Linked DNA regions of Macaca mulatta. The protein of the gene in region 1 purifies or fractionates together with the protein of each later gene. This does not show direct contact. Links are inferred from orthologs where the notes say so. Each region holds a gene or a part of one and is shown on either strand. Other genes may lie near its edges.

Region 1 (4,551 bases):
AGGGTAACCAACCCAGGTTTCAAAGGCAGACCTGTGGTTCCTTCCCTGCAGTTGGGGCTGGCAAAGTTTCACGACTATTCTTTCCTTTCTCTGAGAGAAATGAAGAGCCACATCCTTTAGGAAGCCTTTTCTAGAAGATAAGCTCATCACAACCCTCTAAAAAGACCATTCTTCAAGGCTTAACCCAATGCAATGCCAAAGATCCCAGCAGGCGGCCTAACTGGAGAGTTCTCTGGGGAGCTGTGTGGGGTCAGGGGACTCCGTGGGGCATGGGGCTCTCCTCTCTGCAGAGGAGTTTCTGGTTCTTCCCTCTCCCATTATCTAGGGTCAATGTGGAGAGGATCTACAGCCAAGTCACTTGGGTTCCTGACACTCTTCACAAACTGTCTAGAAAAACAAAAGCTGCTGATGGGAGCAAGGTGGCTATCAAAGGGCAGAAACGCCAATATTAGTCTGCTGCTACCCTAATCTCCCTAGAAGACATTCCATGCCCGACCCCCATCTCAGGCTCCTTCAGTCAACCTGAGGACCAAGTTCCACCTGGATCGAATTCCCTAGTGAGCAGCAGCCTTCAAGGGAAGGGAAGGTGGACCAGTGTGGATTATAGGCCAAGCCCAGAGCACTGCAAAAAAAAAAAAAGAGAGTCTTCCTTTATCTTGGAGATCCTTGCAGTCATGAGAAAGGACTCCAGGGTCAATGCCCCAAGGTAGAGACCCCACCTTTCCAGGTTATAAGAGGGGAGAGATGCCCAGCAGAGACTCTCACTTGCCAACCCAGACCTCTCTTTTGAGGAACTGGGTCATAACCTTCCCTGCCACATTCCCGTTTAATCTCATCTTCACACCTGACCCCTATTCCAAGAGCCTCTGGACCCTCTTACCGTGACGAAGACAACATTGTTGGGGAAGACTGATGTGTCCGCTCCATCCAAGGGCACTTGGGGGGCAGCGATGGGACCCCGGCTGGCAGTCAGCGAGGCTGGGAAGCAGCTCCTCTTTCGAACGGTGGTGGTCCCTTCCTCACCCTCTGCCCCCGGGTCCCCTTCCACAGTCTGGGGTGGGAGACGCAGCTCCTCGGAAAGGTAGTGTCGGATGTTCTGACGGGCAGAATGGATGAGCCGGGAATCTATATCCAAGCCCACCATGCGGGACGGGCCCCACTTGCAGGCAATGCTCAGGGTCAGATGGCCCACATTGCAGCCCAGATCTAGGACGTCCCGGCCCCGAAACCACTCAGGCTTCAACACCCGAAGGCGCCCATCCTCACAGGAAGGATTGCGGTACCCATAGTATTTGCAGTAATTCCCATACTGGAACTTGCGCTGTTGCTTTTTGAAGCCTGCTGCAGGCAGTGGGTGGTGGTGGTGGTGACGGCCTCCCCAACTCCCTCGGCCCTTTTCCTTGGAACCCTGGCCTCCACCCCTAGCCCCTGCCTCCGACTTGCTGGAAGTCCTGCGACGTTTGCGATGTCGGGAGGAGGAAGATGGGGGTGCAGAGGTAACTGAGGCAGCTGGAGGGGCTGATAGGGAGCCTGAGGGACCCTGTAGAGCAGATGGAAGCGGAGACACCACTTCATCCCTGCAGTTGATGGCTGTGTTGAGTTCATAGGGTTGGGGGGCATCCCGGTTCTGGCCTCTGTGCCGCGGCTGCTGTGAGGCGCCCTCCCCGTGGAGTGAGGGGGTGAGAGGGGCTGTGGGCAGCACGGGGTGGCTCTCACTCCCTCCGGCTGCCTGCTGCTGCTGGTGGTGCTGTCCCCGGTGTCTATGCCGCTTCCGACCAGTCTTGAGTGGCGAAGCAAGAACTACATGGCCCTCATCAGTGCAAGTATTGAGACTGAGCGGGTCAGTAATATCTTTGGGGATGAGGATCTCCACTGGATCTCGCCCTTTGGCCGGAAGGGGGGATGACTTAGGGGTCTCTGCGTTGAGGGCGCGGCTCACTTCCTCATCCAGGAGGCTATTCAGGTTCAGGGGATCAAAGATATTGCCCCCCAGGAGGAAGTTGGAGGGTAACACAGAGTCACAGTCCGAATTCACCCGCCTGCGCCTCTTGAAGGCCGGATGTTTAAAGCCTCCCCCACCTCCCCCTACATTACAGCTATTTCTCCTCTTGCCCCCGCCCCCCCCAGGTGGCCGGTGGGGCTGATAGCCATTGCGGGGTCGAGGAGGAGCAGGGGGACCCAGCTCTGTCCCGCCCCCTCCCCGGCGCTCCTCCCCCACGTCCGGGGGAGCGGCTCGCCCCGGGGGATCCGACAGGCGGGCCTCCCCGTGCGACTGCGCCTGGGGGCCGCCTCCTCGGTGCTGCTGCGCCTGGGGACCACCGGGGGGGGTGGCCGCGGCCCCGGGGCTCTCTCGACCGACCCCAGCGGCCGGGGACCCCGCAGACGGCGCGCAAGGACCCGGACCACGCTCCGTCCCGCCGCAGAGCTCCCCAGAGGCGGCCTCTTGGTGCGGTGGCACAGTGGGGCCGCCCCCTCCGCCCGACTCATCTTTGAGCGGCGGCGGCGGGGCCGGCACCAGAAACGGCTCCTTCTCCGCCGCCATCTCGATCATTTCCTCCCCTTATTCCGTCCCAGTCGGGGTAACGAGGGGGATCAGGGGGCTTAACCCCCCCTGCCTGGACCCTGCTCCCTTCCCCCCCTTTCCCGAGTGCGCGCGCAGCTCTGCTCTTCTCGCCTAGTCTCGCGCCCAAGCGCCTCCCCGCGAAGTGCGCCCCACTCGCCCGCGAGACCAAAACAAGATGCCCGCGACACCCGAACTACTCGAGCACTCAACCGCGCGTGCGCCGACCCCTTTCTCCTCCGCCACTACCACCCCGCCGCGAGCGCGCACGGCAAGCGCGCGTTCCCTTCGCCCCGGAACCACGCATGCGCACTCCGCCACCACCCTGGTTGCGCGCGCATCGGAGTACGAACCAACTTAACGGCTCTGGGAGTTTAAATATAACCCCCCACACAGCCCCCGCAAAAGCCCACCACCCCAAACTGACACCCTACTTCCCTGCGCAGCTAGGTCCGGCCCTACTGATCTCCTTTGTCTCTGCCGCGCGATCCCACCCACCGTAGGCGGGGGACGGGACCTGGTGTGAAAAGGTCTCCTTGACACCCGACCCTTGTTCCTGAGGAATGAGTCTCAGCGGTCTCCACCCGGCTCTAAATCCAACAACCTCCCCACCCCGCCTCCTTCCTCCCCCTAGTGGGCAGCGCCTGCGCACACCCTTTTGGGCTTGCGCGGGTACAGGCAGCACGTGCTGGAGGTGGCGCCCCGCCTCCCGTCTTAGGGGTAGGGCCTGTGACGTCGCTTCCTTAAGTTTGGTAAACGCAGCGTGCGTCAGCGCGATCCGGAGGGGCAGGGCTTCCCGACGAAGGGCGGTGCTCATGAATTATTCATGAGCTGTTGGTAGCACACCTCCCCCCTCTGCCCATCTTCTTAGAAGCGCTTCCGAAGGAGCAGAGAGACCCTACAAAGCCGAGGAAGGGCAGGAGTGGAACTGGGCTCAGTAAAACGCGATAGGTCATTATAACTCACCCCCCTCGAAAATATTCTCTGCTGAATTGGGGAAAAAGAAAAAGCACTAAAACAGCCGGTGTTGTCCAACTTCCTCTTCCCCCGAAACGGCTGAGTCGTTCTCTGGTTCCTCTGCCTTCCCCCAATCGCAATCACCTGGAGACGCCACACCACGCCTTCCTCTCCGCCTCCACACCCACGGCCCGGACCCCAACGCCTCCGCCCATTCCCGACGCCCGCTCACTGGCCCGTCAGCTCACGGGCCTCCCCAAACGCCCGCCGCGGCGCCGCGCCGACTTATATACCAGAGAGTGTGGGCGGGGACGGGGGTTCGGTCCGCGCTGGGCCCCCCCCCCCGCTTCGGCCAATGAGGAAGAAGCGAATCTACGGCGTTTTCCCGGGGAGATTCGCAGCCCGGTCTTCCTGCCAGCGGAGTGCTGGGCCGAGGAGCGGGTGACAGGGGTGACAGTGGGGTCCCGGAAAGTCTCAAATAAAATCCTAAAGTGAGGGCGTGAAGGAGACCAGCAGGAAGAGGAGGAATCAGGGAACGGAAAGAGGGAGGAAAAGGCAATCTGAAACAGAGAAAAGTTAGTAAGATGTGCTTCAAGAACAATCAGGCGCTGCGGCCGCCGCCTAAAAATATGTGACACCAAAGAGGATTCTGGGATTTGTAGTTTTCCCGGGACGTTCGGGTGAAAGATGGCGGAATTACCTCAGCCGCGGAAACGCAGACGCTGTTTCCAGTTGCGCATGCGCCTCAGACTCCGCGAGCGCGCCTCCCGGGGGTGGAGCTAGCGCGCCCGACGTCCTCGTGCCTTTTCTTGGTGGCGGGAAACCTGGGTTGAGGTGTGAGAGGCTTGCGGAGTCGCTGCGCCAGCTGGTTTTGCACCTCGCCTTTAGGTCCTCCTTGCTCCTGAAGGTAGCCGGCTAGTTTCTGGTTGTAGGTGAAGGTGCTAGGCGCCGCCAGTCCTGGCACCCGTTGCCTGAGGAGAAACTTTCTCAGGGCGACAACCAGCTCTTGGCCCTTTTTCCTCAGAATCTGTCGT
Region 2 (3,221 bases), on another chromosome or scaffold:
GCAAAGGTTCTTGCTGCTGTCAACAGCCAGCGCTTGAATTTAATTCAGAAGTCTAGTAAAAAGTTTGTTTTGTGTAAAAAAGAGACGGAGGGGAACTTACATTTTAAAAGATGTAAGAGGCTTACGAACCAATAATTTACAGGGAGGAGAGCTGATATTTATAGGAAGGTGGAAATTTGAGTGGACAGTTGACATTAAGGGATTACCACTAATGTTTCTAGGAGTGAAGGCCTTTCAGTCCTGAGACACCTGCCACAACATTACTGGACGAGCACAATGACATCTGGAACATGCCTCAATATAACAGAAGGTGGAAGGGAGACAGACATAAAGGAAAAGGGGCTGGGAGTTGAGGAATGCTGGAAGCTGAATGGTAGGCACACAGGAGTTTATTTTACTGTTCTGTCTACTTTTTAATCGGTTATATTAAAAAATGTTAAGTTAAAAAAATATAGAAAAGCCCGACTGATGCACAAAAACTTACTTACACAACAGATAAATGAGGAGTTGATTCCTATGACATACACAAGGATTCCCTGACATCTTTCTCCAGAGTGTCTTAATAAAGTAAGCTTCCCCTACTGAACTGGCAATGCTGTTTTCAAAGCAATAAATATTTGATAAAGATGTGAGGTAAAAAAGCTCAAAAGCTCCAGTGTCAAACTGCTATAAACTGAATTGTATAAAAACTGAAGACACATCACAGCTGAAATAATTTAAATCAAAGTGACAATGGGATTTGACTTACAGAAGCTCTATTTACACATCTATTAGGTAAAGCAAGGTACACCCACTTCAAAACACATCTGTATGTGAATGCACATCTGAGTACCATTCAGCAAGAAGTTTTGAAGAGAACTTCAGTTTAATAAAGCTAAATGGGGAGAATTGAAGTTTGCATTTGACATGGTATTAAACAAAACCAAAGGGCTGAACTCATGTTTAGACAACACAGGTCACTAGTCACTAGGCAAAGAAAACAGTCCACAGCAGGTGGCACAAATAATTCCTATACAAAACAAATGTTGCAAATATTCTGCTTTTAGGAAACATGAAATAATGGCTGACATGTCATTTACAAATACATAATATAAAAATGCACAGCCCCCTTGAACAAAAATCCAGCAAATGTTTTATAGATGACTTCCCTCAGACCCACCCCCGTAATAGGCCATTCTGGTGAATTACTAGCATCTGCCATTTCATCTTTTAAAATTAAAAGAATGACGGGCACATGTGCTGTGCAGTGTAGAAGAGAAGTGTCATACAAAAAGGGGCCGGAGCTGGCCAGAAACATTTGGACAACTGCATCTCAAAAACCGTGTTCTCGTTTCGCTTCTGTGCCTCAGTCTTTAAGACACAAACGTATCTTGGGACACCACATCCTGGGCCCAGGGAGCCTGCAGAGTGGTCACTTTTCTGCCACTGCCCTCAATATGAGGGAGCACTGAAAGGCTCTTGACTTAGAACCCCTTCCCCCTTTCTGTCTAAAGCAGAGGAGCCATCTGTGGTTGCGAGCGGGCAGCACACCAGGCCTGTCCATCCCCAGTGCACCGCGGGGTGGTGGGAGGTCCGCCGGGCCAGAGTGAAGTAAGGCATTTCCTGTCTCCCAGAGTCCCGTTCACTTTCTCAGAAACAGCTTGGCAAAATCAGCATTGGACATCTTGGGTGCCTCGGTGGCCGCTGAGGCGGCAACTGCAGGAGCCGCGGCAGGGCCATTCTCGGCCTGAGGAGCTGCAGCACTTGGGCGCTGCAGGGCACGAGGCAGTAGAGACAGCTGCGTCCTTCCCTTCCCCCTCCTAGAAGAGCAAACACTGAATGGACCTTTTGAAGCAACAATTTGTGGCCCCTCATTTATTTGTAAAAATAAACCAAGATAGTTTTAAATATAACCAGAAGCTAAAAGGGGGAAAAGAAAAAAGGATGAGATAATCCCTGCCTCCTTAATTCTGGCTGTTAAGTAAAAACTGCTTCGACAGACTTGGCCTTGTTCAGTTTTGGCAAAGATCAACCCTGAGCACCAGTCGCACTCAGAGGGGATCAGTGTGACTATCACCTCTCAGACCTCCCCAGTCACCCGGCAATTCTGCTATCTCCTCCTCATCCCTAGCAGGCAAAAAGCACAGCTTATGTGGATCATATAGCTAGGGCTGTAGACTGGCACACACGTGGGTATAAGATTTCGTTTTAAACATAGCTCCAACTGGCAAAGGGGACTTGAAAATAATCACTGCCTTTAGTTTTGTCTGAAATAAATGACAAGTGTAAATTGGCCAGTACCAGGCAGAGGTCACTGCCTAGGCTTGCATCCTGCTCTGGACGCCTTGCTCCAGTGGAACCACAGTGATTACCACAAGGAACAGCACGTCTTGGCTTTTCTGTCCTAACAGGAAGCTAATTCATGCCGGGTTAATCCCCCCATGGTCCATGAACTGGTGCCAGCCAGGACGAAGTTTGCACTAGTCTACCATGCAAGCACTTACGCTCCGTATGTCTGCGGCAAAAGCATGGGGCCACCTGGTGCCTTCCTGGTCTCCGGCTTCTCTGGAACCTTCCTCTGAGGAGGGTTGCTGATTGCCACTTTGATGACGTTCTCTTTGATAGTCATGCCGTCCATCTTCATCACAGCCTGCGACGCCTGGGATTCATTTTCATACTCCACATAGGCCAGGCCCTGGAAGAGGCAAGATTCAGAACCAAGTCAGATCCCACAGACCAGGGACGTAACCTCCTCCCACAGGGCAGGCACTGGGCTTCCTCCCTGAGACCAGCAGACCAGGCCACAGCAAATGACCAACCAACAGGTTACCTTCCCCACCACTGCATCCTCTGTCTACAGGCTTATTTCCCCACCCTACTCTCCTTCCCAACTGCTGCTACGCACTGTAACTTCAGATAACCCTTCCAAGTTCAGTACACCTTGTATGTGCTGCAGAAGTAGAAAGAAAGAAGGAAACAGACAGATGGACCAGTATAAATCCAGCAAATAAACCAAGAGGTGGATGGGACACAGGGCCAGCAGCCCAGGTGCCCAGGTGAGCCCTTGTGTTTCTGTGCCTTCACCCACTCCCTCATTTCATCCTCTTTTTCTCTCCATTAACCTGGATAAAGGGGAGGGAGAGTGGGCGGTGGGTAGACAGTAACAAAACCACTTACTACACAAAATGGGGCACAAAAGGACTTAGGAGGAGACTGAGCGTGCAAGAAGGAAGGACAGTAGA
Region 3 (3,791 bases), on another chromosome or scaffold:
AAGCTGGGTGAACTCACTTCTAATTTATGATTGTTATCCTATTACTTACAAATTTACCATCTCTATTTTCTCTGCTACAGGGTTCTTTGCCCCAAACTTTTCAAACTTCCTCTTCTTTTGACTCAATTGAGCAAACAAAGGCTTCCATGTCTTCCCATTAAACATGTTTGCCCATGTATTCTTGTTTCTTACACATGAAAACATCAGGTTTCTAACAACAGGTCAACATTTTCACCTGTGGGCAAAACCCAACTCGCTCTGAGGAAGAAAACATTCCAGCAGTCACTTTCCTGCCATCAACCGTTATCCTCGATTGCATTTCAGCCTATAAATATTATTTCTCAAAAAAAACCCTCCCTTTTTCACTCCCCATTTTCCCCTACTACCTGTCTCCTTTTCAGCAAAACTTGTACTACACTCTGTCTTAAGACTTCTCTTTCAATTTGCTCTTGAACCCACACCAGCCAGGATTTTACCACACCACTCCATGCATTAGGCGCAGCATGTTTCATTTACTCTCATTTGAACAAAAGATTCCTGCAGAGTTTGGAAAGTCTAGCATTCATTAATAACTTCAAAGCAATTATATGTTACTTCTGCTAACTATCTGGCAGGATTGAGCATTCTAAACATGGAAACACGTAGACATTAAGTCTAACTTAAATGAAATGGCAAAAACCTTTGCACTGGAGGGGTAACAATGGATAAAGATACCTTTCTAAGAGACAAGTCAATCTCAAGCTTCTTGTTTGTCAATATAAAAACAATTTGCTCAACAGTGAACTGAAGTACTGAATACAAACACAAAATTATACTATTTTTAAGGACATCTATGAAACTAGTTTGGCAAAACATTTAAGCTCTTCAGTGTAATAAAAAGGTAAACCAAAGATTCTGCTGCTGGAACCCATGGACTTAATACATGAGAGCCTATTTTAGATCTACTTTGAAAAATAAAAACCCATCTATCTTCAACATCCAGCATCTGGCTAACACAATCTCCTGGCAGAAAACTGAATCAGAGATCTTCAATTCTAGTAGTGATCAGTTAGGATCCCAGCTCTTTTAACTGAAAACTCAGGACAGGACATATATTAACACAAGAAATATGATGACATCAGCTGCTCTTGCAAAACTCTCAATGTACACGTGCTGATAAGTATGTAATACAACCTCAACTAGATTCCCTAGTTCCTAAAACTACACTAAGTGCTCCGACTTTTGTAAAATTTAAAAACCTATATACAGAAACCCCCTCAAAATATACTCACAGTATATTTTGGATATGTTGGATACTTCTAGAATAATAAACTTGACACTTAAAAATTTGGGGATTTAAAAGTTGTGATTTAAGTGATCAGTTAAGATGCATTATTACTGTATTGGTTTGATTCTTCAGAGGTACCTGTCAGATTTTAGGGATCACCTATGAAAACTTAATACTTCAATAGCAAACCCTCACAGAAAGAACGATTACACCATTCTATCCTACCATCGTGGGACTGGGAACGCTGCCTTAAAGCACACCACAGCATGGACTAAAATACGCTTGGCTCACGGAATTTTTCCTCCATTACTCTAATAATGACATCTATTAATAAGATTTCTAATACCCATTCAAGCAGATAGATTAGTTGTCTAATGATAGACCAGATTTTTCCTCCCAGAATGTAAATTCTTCATGGAGCAATTTCATTTTGCAACTTTGAGCTGACATCCCAACTCCAAAAAAAGGGGGGGTACATACCTAAACTAAGAATTAGTGGAAGATTATGTATGCCATTTCAAGTGGTTAACACTTACTGCTGATTCTTCACTAATGCCATGGTACAATTCAGATACTCCTAATGCTTTCCTTTCTCCCTACCAAGGAGGCAGGTTTAAAAGACGTGGTTTAAAATATTATCTTACCTGTTCAAGGATAGAAAATTTGAAATTCCATACCCTCATCATTTAAAAAAAAAAAATTTATGTATAAAGCTGACCTCATCTATATGAGCTGTTTTTAACAGGTTCACCTCTTAGGCATCTGATGAAAGGAAACGTGAAGTGTTAACAGAAAAATGAGTCCAAAAGTCTGCGGGAGAGGCATGATATTGCTGAGTTCTAACAGAGGTTTATGTGGACCATACCTGCGGAATCGTGGTCTATATCCCCGATACATATTCTGCCTCACTGGTCTACCTTGTTCTCCTGCACCCTGGTTGTCAGCACCCTGAAAAAGATAATGGAAATCAAGGCTACTGGGTCAGTAACATAATAACCTTACCAGGAAATCCAGAGTTAAAAAACAAACAAAAAATCAGACCATCTAGTAACTGTGACTACACTATAAATTAATCCTGTTAGTTCTTACTAGGAATCAAAGGTGCTTTCCATATGATTAACAGCTCTAAACAGTCCTACCAGAACTTATCACATTGCTGTTGCTGATGGTGAAACTTACCTCCATCACTTCTCCCTGCACAGGAGGGTTGGAATACTGTGGTCGACGCCCATAGGGTCTCCGCATGTAGTAAGGTGGGAACCTTCGCCTGCGGTAGGGCCGGCGTTGTTGGGCCTGGCCTTCGGGAGCACTCTCCGATCCCTCGTTCTTTTCCCCACTCTCACTATTCTGGTAATTTTGCTGGTAATTGCGTGGAGGACCCCTACGACGTGGATAGCGTCTATAATGGTTACGGTCTGCTGCATATTTACTGCCTTGAACTGGAACACCACCAGGACCTGTAACATTTGCTGCCTCCGCACCCTACAAAAGCCATTACATATTGATAGTGACAAAGGAAATCAGAACACTTTCAACAAATTTCAAACAAAGCAAAAAACAAAGTTAAGGAAAACAAAAAGGGGGGTGGGCGACTGCGTGGCCAGGGGTGCACAGAAATGACTAAATATCAGTTCCTCACTGTTCTGAAGAGATTGCCCTCTAACTGCAGCCAGAACATTAGGCTTGATGCACCTGTGTTCATGAGGTCACCTGAACACATCCATCCACATTAGAGCCACCATCCTAACAGATGAGACCTCCAAAATATTTCCATACTGAAGTCAAACCTTTACACAAAAAGCATCCTCACCTTTTCTCCTTCAACAACATCAAACTCCACAGTCTCTCCATCTCCTACACTGCGAAGGTACTTCCTGGGGTTATTCTTCTTTATGGCAGTCTAGTAATATCACATTCCAAAAACAGATTAACAGGGGAGAATAATGTGCTTTTTCATTTAAAATGTACCAGAGTCAATATTATTTTAGCTTGGATATACACTTAAGATTTGCTTTAAATAAGACCAAATCATCAATAAATTTGGGAAAGCAGGGACCACGCTATCCCCAACTTCAACAAAAACACTCCAATCATACAAGGCCCCAGCATTTTACCACTATTTACAAAACTAAAACAAGTAATTTAACACTCAAGACAGACACAACATTTTAAAAACTGCTTTTTGCAAAAGCATTATATGTAATTTTGAACAAATGAGGATCTCCATCTATCCCCTAAAGACTGCACTTAATAGTAGAAGGTGGCCCCACATGGGTCAGTTTAGATGACAGGCGAGTTGGGTTTTGCATGCTTCACAGCTGACCAAACCAACTTTGCCCCTGTGTTACCATATCAAACTCAATTACAAATGTCAACCCAAATCCCTTCCAATCTGATAATACGTCAGTGGAAATGCAATTCACGTGTATTAACTATGTCATTCTTTATATGATCTGACTGCATGGAATTGTTACTTATCACCTCTCCAGCATTCAATAAATCTTGTATTAGAGACTTGTTGCTT
Region 4 (4,146 bases), on another chromosome or scaffold:
TTAAAAATGGTTAGAGTGGCAAAATTGTAATGTATATTTTACCACAATAAAAAGAAAATTAATTACAAAAAAAACCCCACCAAAACACATGGCTGAATCATTTACAGAAACTCATTTGACAGACATACAGTCAGTTCAATTTCTTCGGCAGATGTGTCTTTCCCCTGAAGGAATGAATTTCCTCAATAACTTTGGTGTTGTGCCTTTAGCATCATTCATTAAAAGACTCATGAATTTCACTTGAAAACTTTCTTTCAGGGCTAAATGATGAGAAATGTTTTGTTTTCTCCAGCAAAGTAGTGTGTTTCCCTTACAGTATTATTATGAATTAAATGTCTGAGCTCTTCTTACTTTAACTACTAGGAATAAAATCTGTGGCTGAATTCTGGTTTAAGTCCATGTCTTGTACCTAGTATATCATAGTATCCTCCCTGGCTTTGACTTTATTTTTTAATTTTGCCGTACATTTGTCAATTTAATTGTATGTATTCTTATTAGTCAGACTAAACCTTTGAGCAATAAGGTGAAGCAAACTAAATGCAATGTTATGACCTTTACAGCTCTTTAGCTTACCTGCATGTTCATGTAGCCATCTACAGATACCAGATAGCCCTTGTACTCCATTCCCCACTTAAGTTTCACCATCACTGGCTTTCCTGTTAGTCCATTGAGGAAAGGTTTGGGATTGAGGGGTAAACTCTGCACAAAGAACAAAAAAGGATCCAATTAATTATTTTTCCTCCCACCACCAACTCTCTTCTACTAAATACCAATATTTTGTGGTATGCAAATGAAGAAAACTCTTGACTCATTATTTTAGTACACAATTTTCACTTTCATTTATTGGAGAGTACCAGGGAAATTTAAATATCCAGTTAGCCAGTATCACCTTTAACCCATCAAAACAAAATACTCACTATTCACTTAAGATAACACCGACTACATACATCACTTACTGTTCTGAGCTCTAAAGAAACAAAGATAAAGGCACTTAAAAAAAAAAAAAATGCGGGCCAGAAAGGGTGGCTCATATCTGTAATTCCAGCATTCTGGAAGGCCAAGGCAGGGGGATCACTTGAGGCCAGAATTTCAAGACCAGCCCAGGCAACATAGTGAGACCACCTTCTCTACCAAAAATAGTCAGATGTGGTGGTGCACACCTGTAGTCCCGGCTACTAGGGAACAGAGCAAGACCTTGTCATAAATAAATAACAGAGTCCCTGTCAAGAAGTTGGAGATGGGGAGGGGGGCTCCTCACATACAAATAATTATACTGCATATTGCAACATAATAAGAGGAGATATACTAGGCACAAGGGTACCGAAGCAATCCAGGGAAAAAAGGAAAGGTTGCCTGAAATAAGTTAACCTCAGTTTTAAAGAATGAGAATTTATTTCCAGAGCGGGAAAAAATCCTGTTCCAGGCAAGGCTAGCTACTTATGTAAAAGGAGGGAAGAGTGAAGCAACAAGGTGATTTTGGGGACATACAATTCAGCATTGTCAGTCAAAGTCCCAAATATAAGACTACAGAAGGAAGCAGAGGGCAGATGACGCTTGACAGTCTTTAACTGTGGAAGCTAGGGCTAGGTCCTAAATGACTTTGTCACTAGCACTGCCTCTTATAGCAATCACTTAAAGTTTGCTCAGCAAACCATTAACATCTCCAGTGAATTCGGTTTTTGCCTTTTTCTGCTCACTCACCAGTCAAAGAAAGAACAGAACTAAGAAACTTGGCTACTAACCCCCTCTAACATAAACATATTCGGAGTGACTTGATGCGGCGATTACTCCAATAACCTAATGGGTCTCCAGTTTTCATTCTCCAATTTATTATCCACCACAGCAACATGATTTTTTAAAGTGCACATCAAATTGTCATATTTCTGCTTAAAATGATTCAATGGCTTCCAACTCAATCATTTTCAATTGATTTGGAGTACAATCAAAACCTCCCAATACAGCCTAAGAGGTCCTGTCCAACGCCTGCTCCTCCGACACCATCTCGTAACCACTCTTCCTGCAAGTGGCTGTACCTTTTTGTCAATTTCTCCAACTGACCAAGCTTTCTTTCCGGCCGCAGGTCTTATGCGCCTATTCTCTGTGCTCGGTACACTCCTCCTCCTGCTCTTTAAAGGGTCTATTTCATGACACTTAGGCTTCAGGTTAAATTCCACCTCCTAGGGAGGCCATCTCTGACTAAGCCTCTAAATGTCTAACGCGCACCCTCACAGCCTCCTGTCTGCATTCTTCTTAGCACTTATTACTTGCAATTGCATATTTGTTATTTTTTGACTGTCTGTCTTCCCCAACCGAGTTAAACTAGAGCATGGCCGTATCATTACTTTCATGCAATGAAAGTGAATTTTGGAGTGTGGTTAAGTGGGAAGTGCAAATTCTCTTTGAGTTTTACCCCGACCCTGTAGCCACAAATAAGAATATCCCAAGCCCGGATTCAAACAAAGAGGAGAAGGCACGGGCACTCCTAGAAAAAGAAAGGCATCGGGAGGAGCACGCGCCTCAGAAATCCTAAAAGCAGAGTGAAAGAAGCTGGCGACCGGGTGCGCGGCGCCTCACGCGGATGAATGGGAAACGCGCGAAGCAACCACTAGGCCCCGCGAGGTGGTCTCCCTCCTTCTCTTTCTCCCCGCTTCTCCCGCCGTTCTCGTTCTCCTTACCATCGTAACCACGGCCGAATATTGCAGGCTACTCACTGCCGACCAGGCTGCCGCTTGTCCCTCGTGACTACAGCAGGTACCCCAGGTCCCGAGCCGCTGAATTTCAAGAAAAATGGCCGCCAAACAGGAGTGTGACCTTTCACCTCCCACCACGGCCCTTCCTGCCTCTGTGATTGGACGAAAAGAGATGCGCGCTGATTGGAGGAGATGGTTGGACCAGTATCTCCTGGCAACCAGCAGCGGCTTGAGTTTGCGCCTGGCCGGCTGCGCGCGGGTCTTGGGAAACCCGCTCTGAGGAGCAAGGTGAGGCAGCCAAGGACTGGAGGCAGGCCGGTGTTGTAAATGTGCGGTCTGGGAGAGGCTGTGTGACGGATGTGACTTCTCCCCAACTTGGTTAATGGGGATTTTACTTTGTCTTTTTACACCCGTGAGAATGTTCAGGATCCCAGAGTTCCTTCCTCACTCTTCCAACAGGTTCCATGATTTGGGGGCGCCTCTGCCGCAGGCCGTTTCTACCTGAGTATTCTCTCTTCTGCAACACCCATTTCAACCCCTTTTAAAGGAATTCGGGGGTAGCCAGACAAGACTAGGGGCGGTGAAACGCACCGAAGGGAGTCGGATACAGAATTTATTTTAAACGAGGTCAGGTTGTGTCTGGGATACGGTGTCATGTCCCCCCACCCCCCACGACCCCGCCGGCCCCATCTTTCTTTTGCATCGCCAGCAGAGACTGGCACGGCCTTCTTACGTGCATTTGAAATTACCTAAGGGCGTAAGCAATATTTCCGCTGTCACGGATTAAAACTTTCGACGTAACGGTGTTATCTGAATCTCACTGGTTTTTGTCGTAATCCTAGTGAGTTCGGCTCACTCTGATCTGAAATGCTAAATGCAGTTCTTGGAGAACACGCCCTTTGGGAAGTAACGCTTTTTTGCGGCCCTGAAGAGATGGATTTGAGGTTGAGGATGAAATGTTGGTTGTTGAGGCACTGTGGAGCAGTGGGCAAGACTTTGGAGAGGGCCTGCATTCGGAACCTGCGTCTATCAGGCGCAGCCGGTGTTGGGCAGTGTCTTAACCCTCAGGGCCACTGTTTCCACGGCAGGAACGCGGCTTTAAAAACGGAACCATCCTCAGCGTGGTTGCGAGAATTTAACCTAAAACGGGGCTTGGCCTTGTAAAAGCTCAGTGTTTCACATAAGTGTTGAACACTGACAAGACAGTCATTGTCAGTGTAGTTTTTACCAAACAGTTATTAGATTTATTCACCCTAAACTTAAGTGGATTTCTTCCTTAGTTTGTATATTGTTTCATGAACTTTAAGTCTTTGTACAGACTTTGAGTTCCTACTATGTGTCAGGCTCTTTCAACAATTGTGGAAATCTTACCTTACCGTCTGATTCGGGGTGACAGCCCCGTTTTAGAGATGAGGAAGCAGGCCCAGCAGGTAACTGTTACCAGTTGAGGGTAGCT
Region 5 (4,062 bases), on another chromosome or scaffold:
TAAGTGCTATCTCCATGCAAGCAGGAAAAAAAAGTAAATTATAAGTATCATATAAAATCCCAGACTCCTGCTATTTTTAAAACTACCCAAAAACAGATTATTCCAGAACAAGGCTTTTCGGGCTTCGTAGATGTAACCTTTCTGTTACTTACAACTCAGTGCAACCAGACATACCAGTTATGATAGAGGGAAAATGTAAATACAAAAAAGGCAAGCACTGAAAGTCCTGCGAAGGAAGACAAAATCCTTAGAATAAAATGATTTTTTTTAAAGTACTGGAATATAAAAATGCAGTTATTCATTAACCTTTCTCACCAAATTTTTGTAGCTCCAACTTCAAAAATGATCATCATTAATTTAAAATTCCAAAAGAAGACATTAACTCTGATCCCAAGTACAACCCCACCCCAATAAGATCGTCTCCACTTTTCTGCTTCTCTTTTATTCTCTTTCTGCAAACACAACTTGCAGCTTTCAACTCCCAGAAGATGAAGGGGTCCAGTGTTTGAAACACCTTACAACCTTGGCTGGGAAGAGCCATCATGATACCCTCTTCCCCCAACCCATTTAAGGGAAGTATGCCGTGCATCAGAATGGACTATCCAGAGATTACGAAGGATAAGTGAATCTTAAATAGAGTAAATTTGGCATTTATCAAATGTGTCCAGTGGAACTCAAAGACTACAGGGAGTTAAAAAAGGGGTTAACAAGTCCACTTCGAATAGAGAATTAGCGCACAACACAACCAAGAGAAGAACTGCAAAAATGAAAAGGCAGGATTTTCTAGGGAGTCAGAAAACCAATTTAAAATCTCTATCATTAATGGAGGCTTCCTGAAGCAGCACAGCAGGTCTTGGGGTGGCTGCACCTTTGATGGCCTCCAGACCCCCACCACCCCAGTTTACTGCAGAACAGAAAAGCAGCCCAGTGCAGCTGCCATCCCACACAGGCGGAGGTGGTACAAATGCCTGGCCTCTAGCCACATTCCCCTCCAATCCTCTACAGCCGCACGGTGGGTAAGGGGTGGCTGCCAAGCTTGCTAGGGGCGCCTGTGCCAACCCATCTCCCTCCTCCCCCCTCTACTGCGCCACAACCGGAAAGGAACAGCTGCTGTATCAGCCAGGTGAAGGGGAGGGCTGCCATCCCTTCCAGGCAAAAGCTGCATAAGCCCCCACTCCCCTGCTCCCCGTCTCGCCCCATTGCAAACGGAGGCGACTGTCACCTCTGCTGCGTCTGCGCAACTGCATCCTTCCCCAGGCAGCGCTTTGGGGAGGAGGCAGCCGCCCACCTTAGCCCGCCTCCTCTCCTTACCACTGCACCCTAAAGAGGATACGGCTGAAACTTCAAAACAGCAGAAGCTGAGCACACACACACCAGCCGCCCCCTCCCCACTGGCGGCTCTAGAGAGAGGAAGCGGCCCCCCCCTACCCTGAGGCGCTTGCGCAGATCTAAGGCGCTGCAGCGGCGGCCATCTTGAAGGAGCCGCACAATGGCAGTGACGCAACACAGACCCCCAGGCTGTGCCGACACAGCCTTCCAAAACCCGGTTCCAGAGAGAAACAATGAAAAAAAAGGTAACCCTCAGGCATCGCCTGGCCTATCCGTCAAAAGATGTGTAAATGCAAGTTCTGCACATCATTCCTGTCTTCTTATGCTGTAGCCTCAAAAGCGAGGGTTCCTAAAGGGTACACCAGGCAAGGATTCCACGCATTTCTGCAGCCCCTGCGGCAGTGTAGGCGTTGCGCAGTTTTAATAAAAAAGCACCATCACCACAGCAGACAAACCAGATGACCACCGCAGGTCACAGGAAAATTAAAGGCTGCTGACTGTGCTACTGCCCCTCCTGATGCCCCCTCCCCGCCACAGCGATCATTCAGCGTCCCTTAGTCACTCCAGACAGCAACAGGCCCCGCGGCCGCCATGCCCACCGCCTCCATGCCATGCCCACCGCCGCCATGCCTACTGCCACCAAAGCCGCCAATGCCCACCGCCGCCGCCTTCCTCCTACCTCCCAGCCGCTTCCTACAGACCCTTCCCGCGCCGCGATCACCAACACAAACCCCACCACGGTCGCACCGACTCATCCCCCTGGTCCACTGCCACAGCCTCCTCGCCTCGGTCACTGCGACGAATACCCCCCAGTCGCCCCACGTACCCTGCTCCACCACGCAGTGGCCACTTCAGTACACCCACCTGCGCTCGACACCCCCTAAATACCCGTCACTCCACGTACCTTCGCCCCGCCACGATCACTCCAGTATACCTACCTCCGCCTCAAATCCCGATGCACCGGTCCCCCCACGTACCCTCGCCACACGGAACTGCAGTCACTCCGATGTACCCACCTCCGCCCATGTCCCTGGCTGGCTGCGGTGACCCCACACGCTCCCCGTCACCACCGCCCTTCCCACCGCAGACACCGCAATAGGACCTGTGGTGACACCACAGCTGGGGGCGGATGGAGGACGCGCCCCAAAGCGAGCGGACAGGGTACCATCGGGGCGAATGGCACAGCCACAAGCCTCTGAACCTTCCGGATCTGGTTCTCCAGAACAAAGGACTTTAGGACCCAAATGCCCAGTTTATTGAGTACTCCAAGTCCTGAAAACTTGGAATATCTGATGAATAAAAGTGGCTGCTCCCCAGGCTGTCTCTTGAGAGAAGCCACCGGCGCAGCTGACCTTGCTCGCTCCATCGCGTCACTGACCGCTCCTCAGACCGATGCGTCAGGCATCTCCGGCGGCCGCTCCGCTCTGCGCCAGACTCGCTGCAGCAGCGTCAGGCTTCGCACACATCCCCGCCTGAGCATGCGCACTAGCCCGCCTCTGCGGCCGCGCAGGCGCGCTTGTTTGCCGCAGTGCAGGGGTCCCAGTGCCCTCCCTGACCGCAATGACCTGGGGGGTGGGGGCTACTGGACCCCTAGGGCCCCACAGCATTGTTGCATTGAGAGGGGGCCTCTAGAAACCATAAGCAACCTGGGATCAATGGACATGCCTATTTTTTTAAATGTGTAAAATACTAAAGAAAGAATTCTTGGTTGTACAATAAATGTTTGCACACACCACTGGCCAAACAATCCTAATTTACACTCATCCTCAGGTCTTCCTATGTGCGGTACAGAAAAGCTGGTTTGGAAAAGTTAAATGCGCCATAACCACAATCAATGAAAATATGCCAGACTTGAAATCCTTCCAGAAGAAAATCTCCCTAACTCTAAAAACACGCTACATTGTTCAAATTTGGTGGGATCTTTCTTCCTTTTTTCTACTTTCTACATTTTGAGGGGGTAAATTGTGAAAAATATCTTCCCCAAAATCACAATATAATTAAACTGTCCTATACAGAACGGATAGATCATTCAATTCAAAAACACTGGCTATTCAATTCTTGTAAAACAAAAATATGAACTTAGACCCCCCACCTAAGATCTAAGTAAGACAGCCTTTCTTTGCCTATTAGACTTGGATACATTAAAATTTTTGCCAATAATCAATGATAGCTGGAGTGGGGAGAAACTGACACTTTTATATAATACTAATGGACAAGGAAACATTATTTTTGACCTAATAATATTCTATCTGCAGAAATAACGGAAGCATCCGTAACTCCAAAATTTAGATACTGATGTAGCTTGGGAAAAGACACTGCTGAGAATAAGAAGGAAATAATCCTGAAACTGTATCTGCATAGTTTTTATACACATTTGCCCTTTCTCAATTGCCCATTATCAAAGAAGGGAGGGTGATAGGAGTGGAGGTTGACTAAATGGTTAAATCCCCTCTCAAGCCCTGTAAGCTACTGCTCAGTTCCCAATGATCCTACATTAAAACAGGTGCACAGAGGCTTATCAATGCTGACTTTTATCATAACAAAATCTCAGAAACTGTGCAATGTTCCTCACAGAGAACAGATAGGCTAAGTAAATAAACGTATATATAAACAATAACATGCAATATCGCTGATGGAAAAAATGATTAGGCTGAACCATATAAAATTGTCAATATTCAATTTTTTTGACCTACAAAAACATTGCAATTTCTAATAGTTCATTGATACATATTC
Region 6 (4,391 bases), on another chromosome or scaffold:
CACATACCACATGCCAGGCCCAACCCTGACATACGTCACATTTCTGGTTCACAGAAGAGAAACCCAGCGCTGACTCAGTTGTTCTGCCCAAGGCCACAGAATGGCTGATGGAACCAAGACTGGCGCATAGCCTGTGTGGCTCTCAAGGGCAGGCCCTGTCACCAAACCAGCCTCCCTTCCAGAGAGGAGCGCTCCCTCCATTCCACTCCCCACTCCTCTGCCGGGGGACCGGGACCCCGTACCTCAGGGGTGATGGAGCCGCAGAGCTGACTGATGAGGGCGAGTTGGTGCTGCTCCGTGTTGCCCTGCATGATGGGGCTGCGGGTCCACATCTCTGCCATGATGCACCCAGCACCCCACAGGTCAATGGGGGGGCCGTAGTCCCGCTCCCCTGGGAAGAAGAGCGCACCAGGAGGGCCCCTTGAGCCCGGAGGCCTCCTGAGACTCAATGCCCCAGGGCCGGCAGCTCAAGAAGCCCTGGCAGTGGGGGGGCGGGGGCCAGGTAGATGCCTGGCCCTCACCCCCCTCGGCCCGCTCGGGAGTCCTCACCGAGCAACAGCTCCGGGGGCCGGTACCAGAGTGTCACCACACGGTTGGTGTAGCGGTTGGGCTGGCTGTTCTTAGCCAGGCTGAAGGCCCGGGCCAGCCCAAAGTCTGCCAGCTTCAGGACCCCGTCACGAGTGATAAGCACGTTAGCAGCCTTCATGTCCCTATGCAGGATCTGCAAGAAGGGCAAGAGTGGCTCCTTCAGTGATATCCACCCGGTAGTGGGAGCCAAGGCCAGCCCAAGCCTGGGTCCTCCTCCCAGCTCTCGCCCCCACCTTGTTCCTGTGGATATAGTAGAGGCCGTTAAGGAGCATCTGCATCACCCTCTTGATCTCAGACAGCGTGAACTTGACCAAAACATTGCTCAACAGCCCAGCAAGGTCATGCTCGCAGAAGTCGAACACCAGGTATATACTGCCCTTGCAGCGGTTATAGGGTGAAGCTGAGGCAGGAATACAAGGAAGAAAAAGTCAAGAAAGCCACACCCAACACACTTTCCCACAACCAGTTTCTTTCTTCCTGCTCCAACCCATGGGCACCCAAGCCCTCCAGAGCATCTGTCTGTTCCTTCCTTCACTGGTCAAATATTTTCTGAGTGCCTCTTCTGGGCCAGGGCAGACCCCGAGGAAGCACCAGCTACGATGAAAGAGGACCAGAGAAAGCAGTCACCATGGGTCCATCTGAGTTAAGAGGAGGCAGTTTAGGTGGGTCTAGTTCCAACTTTACGAACAAAACCTTAGGCTACAAGTGTCATCTCCTCATAAGATCCAAACAACTTACCTTTGGTTCGACAAATCTCAATCAAGTTGACCACATTCTCATGTTTTAGAAGTTGAAGGATCTTGATCTCCCGCAAGGCGGTAATGGGGAACTGGGTGGGAGAGAGGGGAAAGTGGTCAAGAGTGAGCGCAGTACAGAGCCCAGCCCTGGGGTCTATATTGAGAGGCAAGATGGGAGACAGAGCAAGATCATGGGCTCTGAAACCAGCTGTCTCAGAAGCTCTGCCTGTAAAATGGATATAGTAGGAGCATGCACACTTCAAGGAGATGATTTGAGACAACAAACTGAAACAGCAATACTTTGCTATTAGCCACTAAATGCTCGGCGGTTTCAGCCTTCAAACTTCAGCTCTATGGCTGTTTCGTTGGCAACAAACATGACGATTCAAAAATGTCCTCGCTAAAGCACATCAGGAAAAGGAAGGTTTATGGGACGTTGTACTTGAGCTAAGATGGGGTGGAGGGACCGCTCCTTTTAAACACATTAAATAACTGAGTATTAGTCACTTTTCAAAAATTTGCATGCATATGTATCTTTCTTTAACATTAAGCAAAATTTAACACTAAAAAAAGGTGTTTAAAGGCTTCCTAACTTCGTGAACTAAAGTGCACACGATGCATGCATCAACTCCCCCTCCCGGTCTCACCCATAACTGCCTAAGAATGAAGCATTTAGTTTTAGGGTGGAGGCCAAATTCCCTGGAAATTTCTGAACTACTACGAAAAAAATTAAATCTCAACCTGAGACTCCTAGAAGCAGCAGGGTGGAAAACCGACCCGGGGTCCTGGGCAGTTAGACGGCTGGCCCGCACGCCCGATCCGTACTCACCCCCTCCTTCTCGTTTTCCATCAGCACCTTCTTCAGAGCCACCTTCTGGCCGGTCTTGCGGTGCCTGGCCTTAAACACCTCCCTGCAGGCGGAAAGGGAGACCCGAGAGCTCATCAGGCGATTTCCGCAGGGCCCGCCCCTCCCCCACTACAGGAGGAGGGGCAGCAGCAAAAAGATTCCCGGGCGGGGCTGGGGTAAGTACCCAGGGCACGCGGCTACCCCGCCACCCGGCACCCTGTCTCGTTCGGAGCTTCTGCTTCCTTCTCTCAGTCCCTTCTCCTCACTTGGGCGTCTCTTGGAGAGATCCCGTTCCCCTCACGGGCGCCTCTCTGCAGCCCCTCCCCGCCCCCACCACCGGCCTCAGGCTCCTCCCCACCAGCCGGCTCCTTCAGGCCGGGGCGGGGTGCGGCGCGGCCTAAAGACCAGTGGGCAAGCCCGGGGACAGACGGTTTCTCTACCAACTCGGGCGGGGCCCGGGGCATCCCGACGTCCGCCCTAGGGGTGCAGGCCCACGGCTCCCGGCCCCGAGGGGCCCAGCCTTACCCGAAGGTGCCTTGGCCGATCTTGGCGAGCTTCTCGTATTTGGAAACTTCATCACAAAAGGGGCACTCCACCGAGTCGTACTGCTTTGCCATGGCCGCCTCCAACGCGCCGCCGCCGCCCCCAGCCGCTGCTGCTGCCGCTCCCGCTCCGGGTCCCGCCGCCGCCGCGCTCCAGGCCCCTCCGCGGCCGCGCCACTTCCGCCTCCACGGCCACTTCCGGCCTCGCGGCGCCGACCCCGCCTCTTCCGCCCGCCGCCCGCCGCCAGGCCCCCTGGGACTTGTAGTTCCCGAGAGGCCAGGGGGAGCCGGAGCTGCAGAGGCGCCTCCGCCGCCGCCGCTGCCCCCGCCTCCGCCGCCGCCACTACTGGCGGCGGCCCCGATCGGGGGCGCGGGGAGCCGGGGCGCCGGAGCTGGGGCTCGGGGTGGCGCGTCCCGCTGCATGGGCCCGGGCCGCCGCTGCTGCCGAAGCTGCTGCCGCTCTGGCGCCCGATCCGGGGCCAGCCGCAGTGCCCTGCTCCTCCTCCTCCGACGGCGCCGCCTCCGCCGGGCTGCGCGGGGCGGCGGGCGGGGGGGCAGCCCCCGAGCCGCGGCCTGGGGGCTCCCTGGCCGGGCCCGGGCCCGGGGCGGCCGGGCGAGGGGGCGAGACGGGAAGAGCCGACTAGGAGACGGCCCGAGAGCCCGGGAGGGGGCGCGTTATAAAGGGGGAGGTGCCCGGCCTCGCCTTCCCCTCCTCCTCCGCCCGCCCCCGCCCTCCTCCCTCCCACCCTCCGCGGCCGCACCTGCCGCCGCCGCCACCGCCCGCCCGCCCGCCCGCCCGCTCGCTGTCCGCCGGCCGCCCTCGGCGCGTCACCGCCCGCGGCCCCTCCTCCGCCTTCGGAGGTGGGGCCCCGCGCTCGGCACCTGGCTGCGGGCGCCCAGCCGCGTGCCTCAGTTTACCCCCACATGCCGGCTGCCGCGGAGAGCCCCTTCCTCCCCGGCTCGGAGTGCCCCCCCAAGAGGCGAAGGCGGGAGGCGCGGAGGGAGCGTCCTCCGGCCCTGGGAGGAGAAAACGGCCCCCGCCTCCGCCTCCCCCGGTCCCCGCCACCCTCCGTTGACATGGCAACCGACGGCCGCCAGGGGGCGCGGCGGCACTGGAGGCGACGAGCAAGCAACGCCCGGGCCTTCTATCGCTGGAGCCTGGCTCTCCAGGAGGCAGGGATGGGACCCGCAGGACTCGCGCCTTCGCCGAGTCGCGCCAGAGCTGATCAGGCCCCGGGTCAATAATCGCAAAAAACAGCTACCATTTTCTCAGCACTCTTTGTGTGCTCAGGAAGTGCTGGGCGTTTCCGCCGAATCCTGAATCAACAGCCCCATAGTCAGGATCACTAACCCATTTTGCAGAAGAGGACATTGAGGCTCAGAGGTGAGGTCATTTGCCCAAGGTCACACGGCGACAAAGCTGGGTGTCTGACTGTGAAGGGGATTCTCTTGACTCAGGCTATCCGTGGTTGGGCCAGGAGGAGAGCACTGGGGAGGCTTGCTGTCCTTATGCAAGCGGGAGCTCACCACTCACCCCCCCATCTCCCTCCCCCATCGCGCCCATCCCTTCGCCTGCATCTTCCTGGCTCCAGCGGCCCCCAGATTCCCCCTCCAGCTCTGCCCAAGGACAGCCTCCGGCAAAGCCGTCTTTTCTGCCTCCTTTGCCCCGCTTCAATC
Region 7 (2,607 bases), on another chromosome or scaffold:
TCCAAATCTTTGATGAGCATGTGCCACTCTTTTATAATGAAACAAGCAAACAATAAGTTCTTACTACTTACTGAGTGAATAGTTGCTACTTAACCAATTATCCTAAAATTATACCAAGGAAACTAGGTTTGGGTCCAGCAAAGGATTCAAATGTGATATTCACTCGAGGTAAGGATAGTGGGATGCTGTGGGCTAGCACAGCAGAAAATTACTAGACCAGGGGAATCCACGGTCCTGAATTGAATCTTGGCTCTGTGTGACCCTGGGTATTGGATTTTGCAGCCTGACACATGAATGCTTGAACTAGAATAATGATTCTTAACCCTTAGTGGGTTACTGACCCCTCTGTCTATGTCTGAGGGTTCTGGGAACCCTCTCTCCAGGAAAAAGGAAACACACACACACACACACACACACACACACGCTCACAGAACTTTTAGAAGTAACTCTAGGAGGCATATGGACTCTCTGGAGGTCCACGGACCAAGTTAAGAACACTGGTCAGAGGCTGGGTGTGGTGGCTCACGGCTGTGATCCCAGCACTCTGGGAGGCCGAGGTGGGTGAATCACCTGAGGTCATGAGTTCGAGACTAGCCTGGCCAACATAGTGAAATCCCATCTCTACTAAAAACACAAAATTAGCGGGGCATGGCGGCACGTGCCTATAATTCCAGCTACTCAGGAGGCTGAGGCAGGATAATCGCTTGAACCTGGGATGCAGAGGTTGCAGTGAGCTGAGATCGCGCCACTGCATTCCAGCCTGGACGACAAGAGTGAAACTCCCTCTCAAAACAATCAAAAAGCCACTGGTCAGTATGCTGTCTTCTCTAGCTCCAGCTCCACAGCCAAACGAAAGCACAGTAGTTCCACTTCCTGTGTCTCTGCTAAGGGCCTGATCTAGCAGATGCCAAGATATGCCAAGGTCACCAGCTTCCTGTCCTAACCAACAGCCACCTCTCAGAAGGCTGGCTTAACTACTCAGCCCCAGTCTTCTTAGCAGATGGCAAGGAGCCCTGGCGAAGATTTTAGTCTAAAGAGAACCCTAGGCTGCTGATGCAACATCGAACTGTTAAGTCAAGCACAGCAAAAGGTCACCCCTTTTCCGGGGGGGCTGCTACCGAACCCTGGTATTCCAACTAGAAACGTGTTTTAAGGACACCCCTTTTCCGGGGGCACTGCTACTGAACCCTGGCATTCCAACTAGAAACGTGTTTTAAGGACACGGTTACTCCAGCCTCAGAACTCTCCAATGTGAGTAGGTAAGTACAGAGGGGATTACAAGTGAAGCCACAAAAAACAGTATTTGATCAGCAACAAAATATCTGAGACTTTCTTAAGCTACCTACGGCATATACTATTTTGTTCCATTTCTCATTTCTGTCATCAGCCGCTCACTCAGCTAACCCCAGGATTCAAATAGGACCACTGGTTTTTAATTTTTGAATATTCTATATTAAAAACAAAACAAGCTCTACTTCAAATGTCCAAACAAAAATCATACAGTGGTAAAACTGCTACAAAATGGTACTTTCAACAGGCTGGAGGTGGGGGTACGGGTGCCTTCTGTGTGCCTCAGTCACACCCGGGGGTTTTGCTTACCTAATTCTGCTTCTGAATAAGAAACATCAAAACAGCCAAGTGTCAGGAATGTGCCATTTACTGGGTACTCCCCCCAGACTCTGCTCCTCCTTCTAGGATTATTAGGGTTTCTCTCCCCGATTCCCCACCACCCACCCATGGCTAGCTCCCTTCGTGGGACTGACGCAAGGTAGGTCCCATCTCGAAGAGTGACCTAGAAGCGGGTACCAGGGCCTCCAACTGGAGGCAGAGAGAGCCACCCCTCCTCAAGAAACACCCTTGGGTGACAGAGCATGACATTCTAGGCAGTGCTGCCCAGCCCAGACTCCACAAACAACCCTTTTGGCCTTGAAGAAGCAGTCCAAAGCTGAGGGGCAGCTTGAGCCAGCTTGCAATCCCTCGGAGTTTACTGAGGGCTTTTTGTTGTTACTGATGACAGCAATTCCTCCTTGTAAACGAGCCACGCTACAACTCCCTGTAACTCAAAATGCAGGAAGGCGGTCGGGGGAGGTGGGTGACAGATTCACTGGTTTTTGTGTTTGAAGACAATTCCACATAATGCTACTAATGGGCCACTGGTAGGATTCCTCTTGCCACCCCACAGGCCACTGCAAAGCAAGTTACTATAAACACTTTTCCAACTGTGCAAGAAGTTTCTAGTTAACTGGCAACAAGCCTGAAAATTTGGTTCCGTATGTAGGTACAAAGCTGGTTCATCAAATCCCTGTTCTGGCCCTCAACCCAATGCATTTCAACTAAGGCATCGTCCACCTCCTTCTTAACATTTATCAGACACTTAAACAGGTACTGTCCAGCCACTCCTGGGAGCCGTTTCCCCCTTTCAGCCACTGGGCTGCTCAATTGCTCAGAAGCCTCTTGGTCCTGGGCTCCGTTGCTAGAGCCTTTACAACTTTCCAGAACCTCCCCCCCTCCCTTTTCCTCACTCCTTTCATCCTCCGTGGGCTCCGGGTTTTCCTCCTGGGACAGGGACTCCTGGCTCGGGCATGGGCCCTCCACAGCGGCAGGCTC

What was found.
Region 2: the proteins of MEPCE (region 1) and SART3 purify together in Homo sapiens (affinity purification with mass spectrometry; 6 studies listed by BioGRID and IntAct, counting the BioPlex papers as one, with this or other methods). This does not show direct contact. The link is inferred for Macaca mulatta from reciprocal best matches to the Homo sapiens genes MEPCE and SART3.
Region 3: the proteins of MEPCE (region 1) and YBX1 purify together in Homo sapiens (affinity purification with mass spectrometry; 3 studies listed by BioGRID and IntAct, with this or other methods). This does not show direct contact. The link is inferred for Macaca mulatta from reciprocal best matches to the Homo sapiens genes MEPCE and YBX1.
Region 4: the proteins of MEPCE (region 1) and SNRPF purify together in Homo sapiens (affinity purification with mass spectrometry; 4 studies listed by BioGRID and IntAct, counting the BioPlex papers as one, with this or other methods). This does not show direct contact. The link is inferred for Macaca mulatta from reciprocal best matches to the Homo sapiens genes MEPCE and SNRPF.
Region 5: the proteins of MEPCE (region 1) and SNRPN purify together in Homo sapiens (affinity purification with mass spectrometry; 3 studies listed by BioGRID and IntAct, counting the BioPlex papers as one, with this or other methods). This does not show direct contact. The link is inferred for Macaca mulatta from reciprocal best matches to the Homo sapiens genes MEPCE and SNRPN.
Region 6: the proteins of MEPCE (region 1) and CDK9 purify together in Homo sapiens (affinity purification with mass spectrometry; 10 studies listed by BioGRID and IntAct, counting the BioPlex papers as one, with this or other methods). This does not show direct contact. The link is inferred for Macaca mulatta from reciprocal best matches to the Homo sapiens genes MEPCE and CDK9.
Region 7: the proteins of MEPCE (region 1) and METTL16 purify together in Homo sapiens (affinity purification with mass spectrometry; 3 studies listed by BioGRID). This does not show direct contact. The link is inferred for Macaca mulatta from reciprocal best matches to the Homo sapiens genes MEPCE and METTL16.

What each region holds. Positions count from the first base shown.
Region 1 is NC_133408.1:47,626,317-47,630,867, reverse strand, and holds the start of MEPCE (7SK snRNA methylphosphate capping enzyme), read right to left. Parts: upstream 2,950-4,551; 5' UTR 2,552-2,949; coding exon 881-2,551; intron 623-880; exon of another isoform or gene 541-622; intron 1-540. UniProt on the Homo sapiens protein: S-adenosyl-L-methionine-dependent methyltransferase that adds a methylphosphate cap at the 5'-end of 7SK snRNA (7SK RNA), leading to stabilize it.
Region 2 is NC_133416.1:115,652,631-115,655,851, forward strand, and holds the end of SART3 (spliceosome associated factor 3, U4/U6 recycling protein), read right to left. Parts: intron 2,675-3,221; coding exon 2,484-2,674; intron 1,800-2,483; coding exon 1,622-1,799; 3' UTR 678-1,621; downstream 1-677. UniProt on the Homo sapiens protein: U6 snRNP-binding protein that functions as a recycling factor of the splicing machinery. Promotes the initial reassembly of U4 and U6 snRNPs following their ejection from the spliceosome during its maturation.
Region 3 is NC_133406.1:198,061,762-198,065,552, forward strand, and holds part of YBX1 (Y-box-binding protein 1), read right to left. Parts: intron 3,168-3,791; coding exon 3,078-3,167; intron 2,750-3,077; coding exon 2,447-2,749; intron 2,216-2,446; coding exon 2,133-2,215; intron 1-2,132. UniProt on the Homo sapiens protein: DNA- and RNA-binding protein involved in various processes, such as translational repression, RNA stabilization, mRNA splicing, DNA repair and transcription regulation.
Region 4 is NC_133416.1:103,187,213-103,191,358, reverse strand, and holds the start of SNRPF (small nuclear ribonucleoprotein F), read right to left. Parts: upstream 2,801-4,146; 5' UTR 2,679-2,800; coding exon 2,676-2,678; intron 700-2,675; coding exon 574-699; intron 1-573. UniProt on the Homo sapiens protein: Plays a role in pre-mRNA splicing as a core component of the spliceosomal U1, U2, U4 and U5 small nuclear ribonucleoproteins (snRNPs), the building blocks of the spliceosome.
Region 5 is NC_133412.1:5,020,402-5,024,463, forward strand, and holds the start of SNRPN (small nuclear ribonucleoprotein-associated protein N), read right to left. Parts: upstream 2,801-4,062; 5' UTR 2,696-2,800; coding exon of another isoform or gene 2,682-2,695; intron 1-2,681. Other genes in the region: SNURF protein, read right to left, coding at 2,682-2,695.
Region 6 is NC_133420.1:19,920,627-19,925,017, forward strand, and holds the start of CDK9 (cyclin-dependent kinase 9), read right to left. Parts: upstream 2,838-4,391; 5' UTR 2,790-2,837; coding exon 2,698-2,789; intron 2,237-2,697; coding exon 2,155-2,236; intron 1,418-2,154; coding exon 1,327-1,417; intron 989-1,326; coding exon 822-988; intron 722-821; coding exon 550-721; intron 392-549; coding exon 243-391; intron 1-242. UniProt on the Homo sapiens protein: Protein kinase involved in the regulation of transcription.
Region 7 is NC_133421.1:3,966,299-3,968,905, forward strand, and holds part of METTL16 (RNA N(6)-adenosine-methyltransferase METTL16), read right to left. Parts: coding exon 2,239-2,607; 3' UTR 1-2,238. UniProt on the Homo sapiens protein: RNA N6-methyltransferase that methylates adenosine residues at the N(6) position of a subset of RNAs and is involved in S-adenosyl-L-methionine homeostasis by regulating expression of MAT2A transcripts.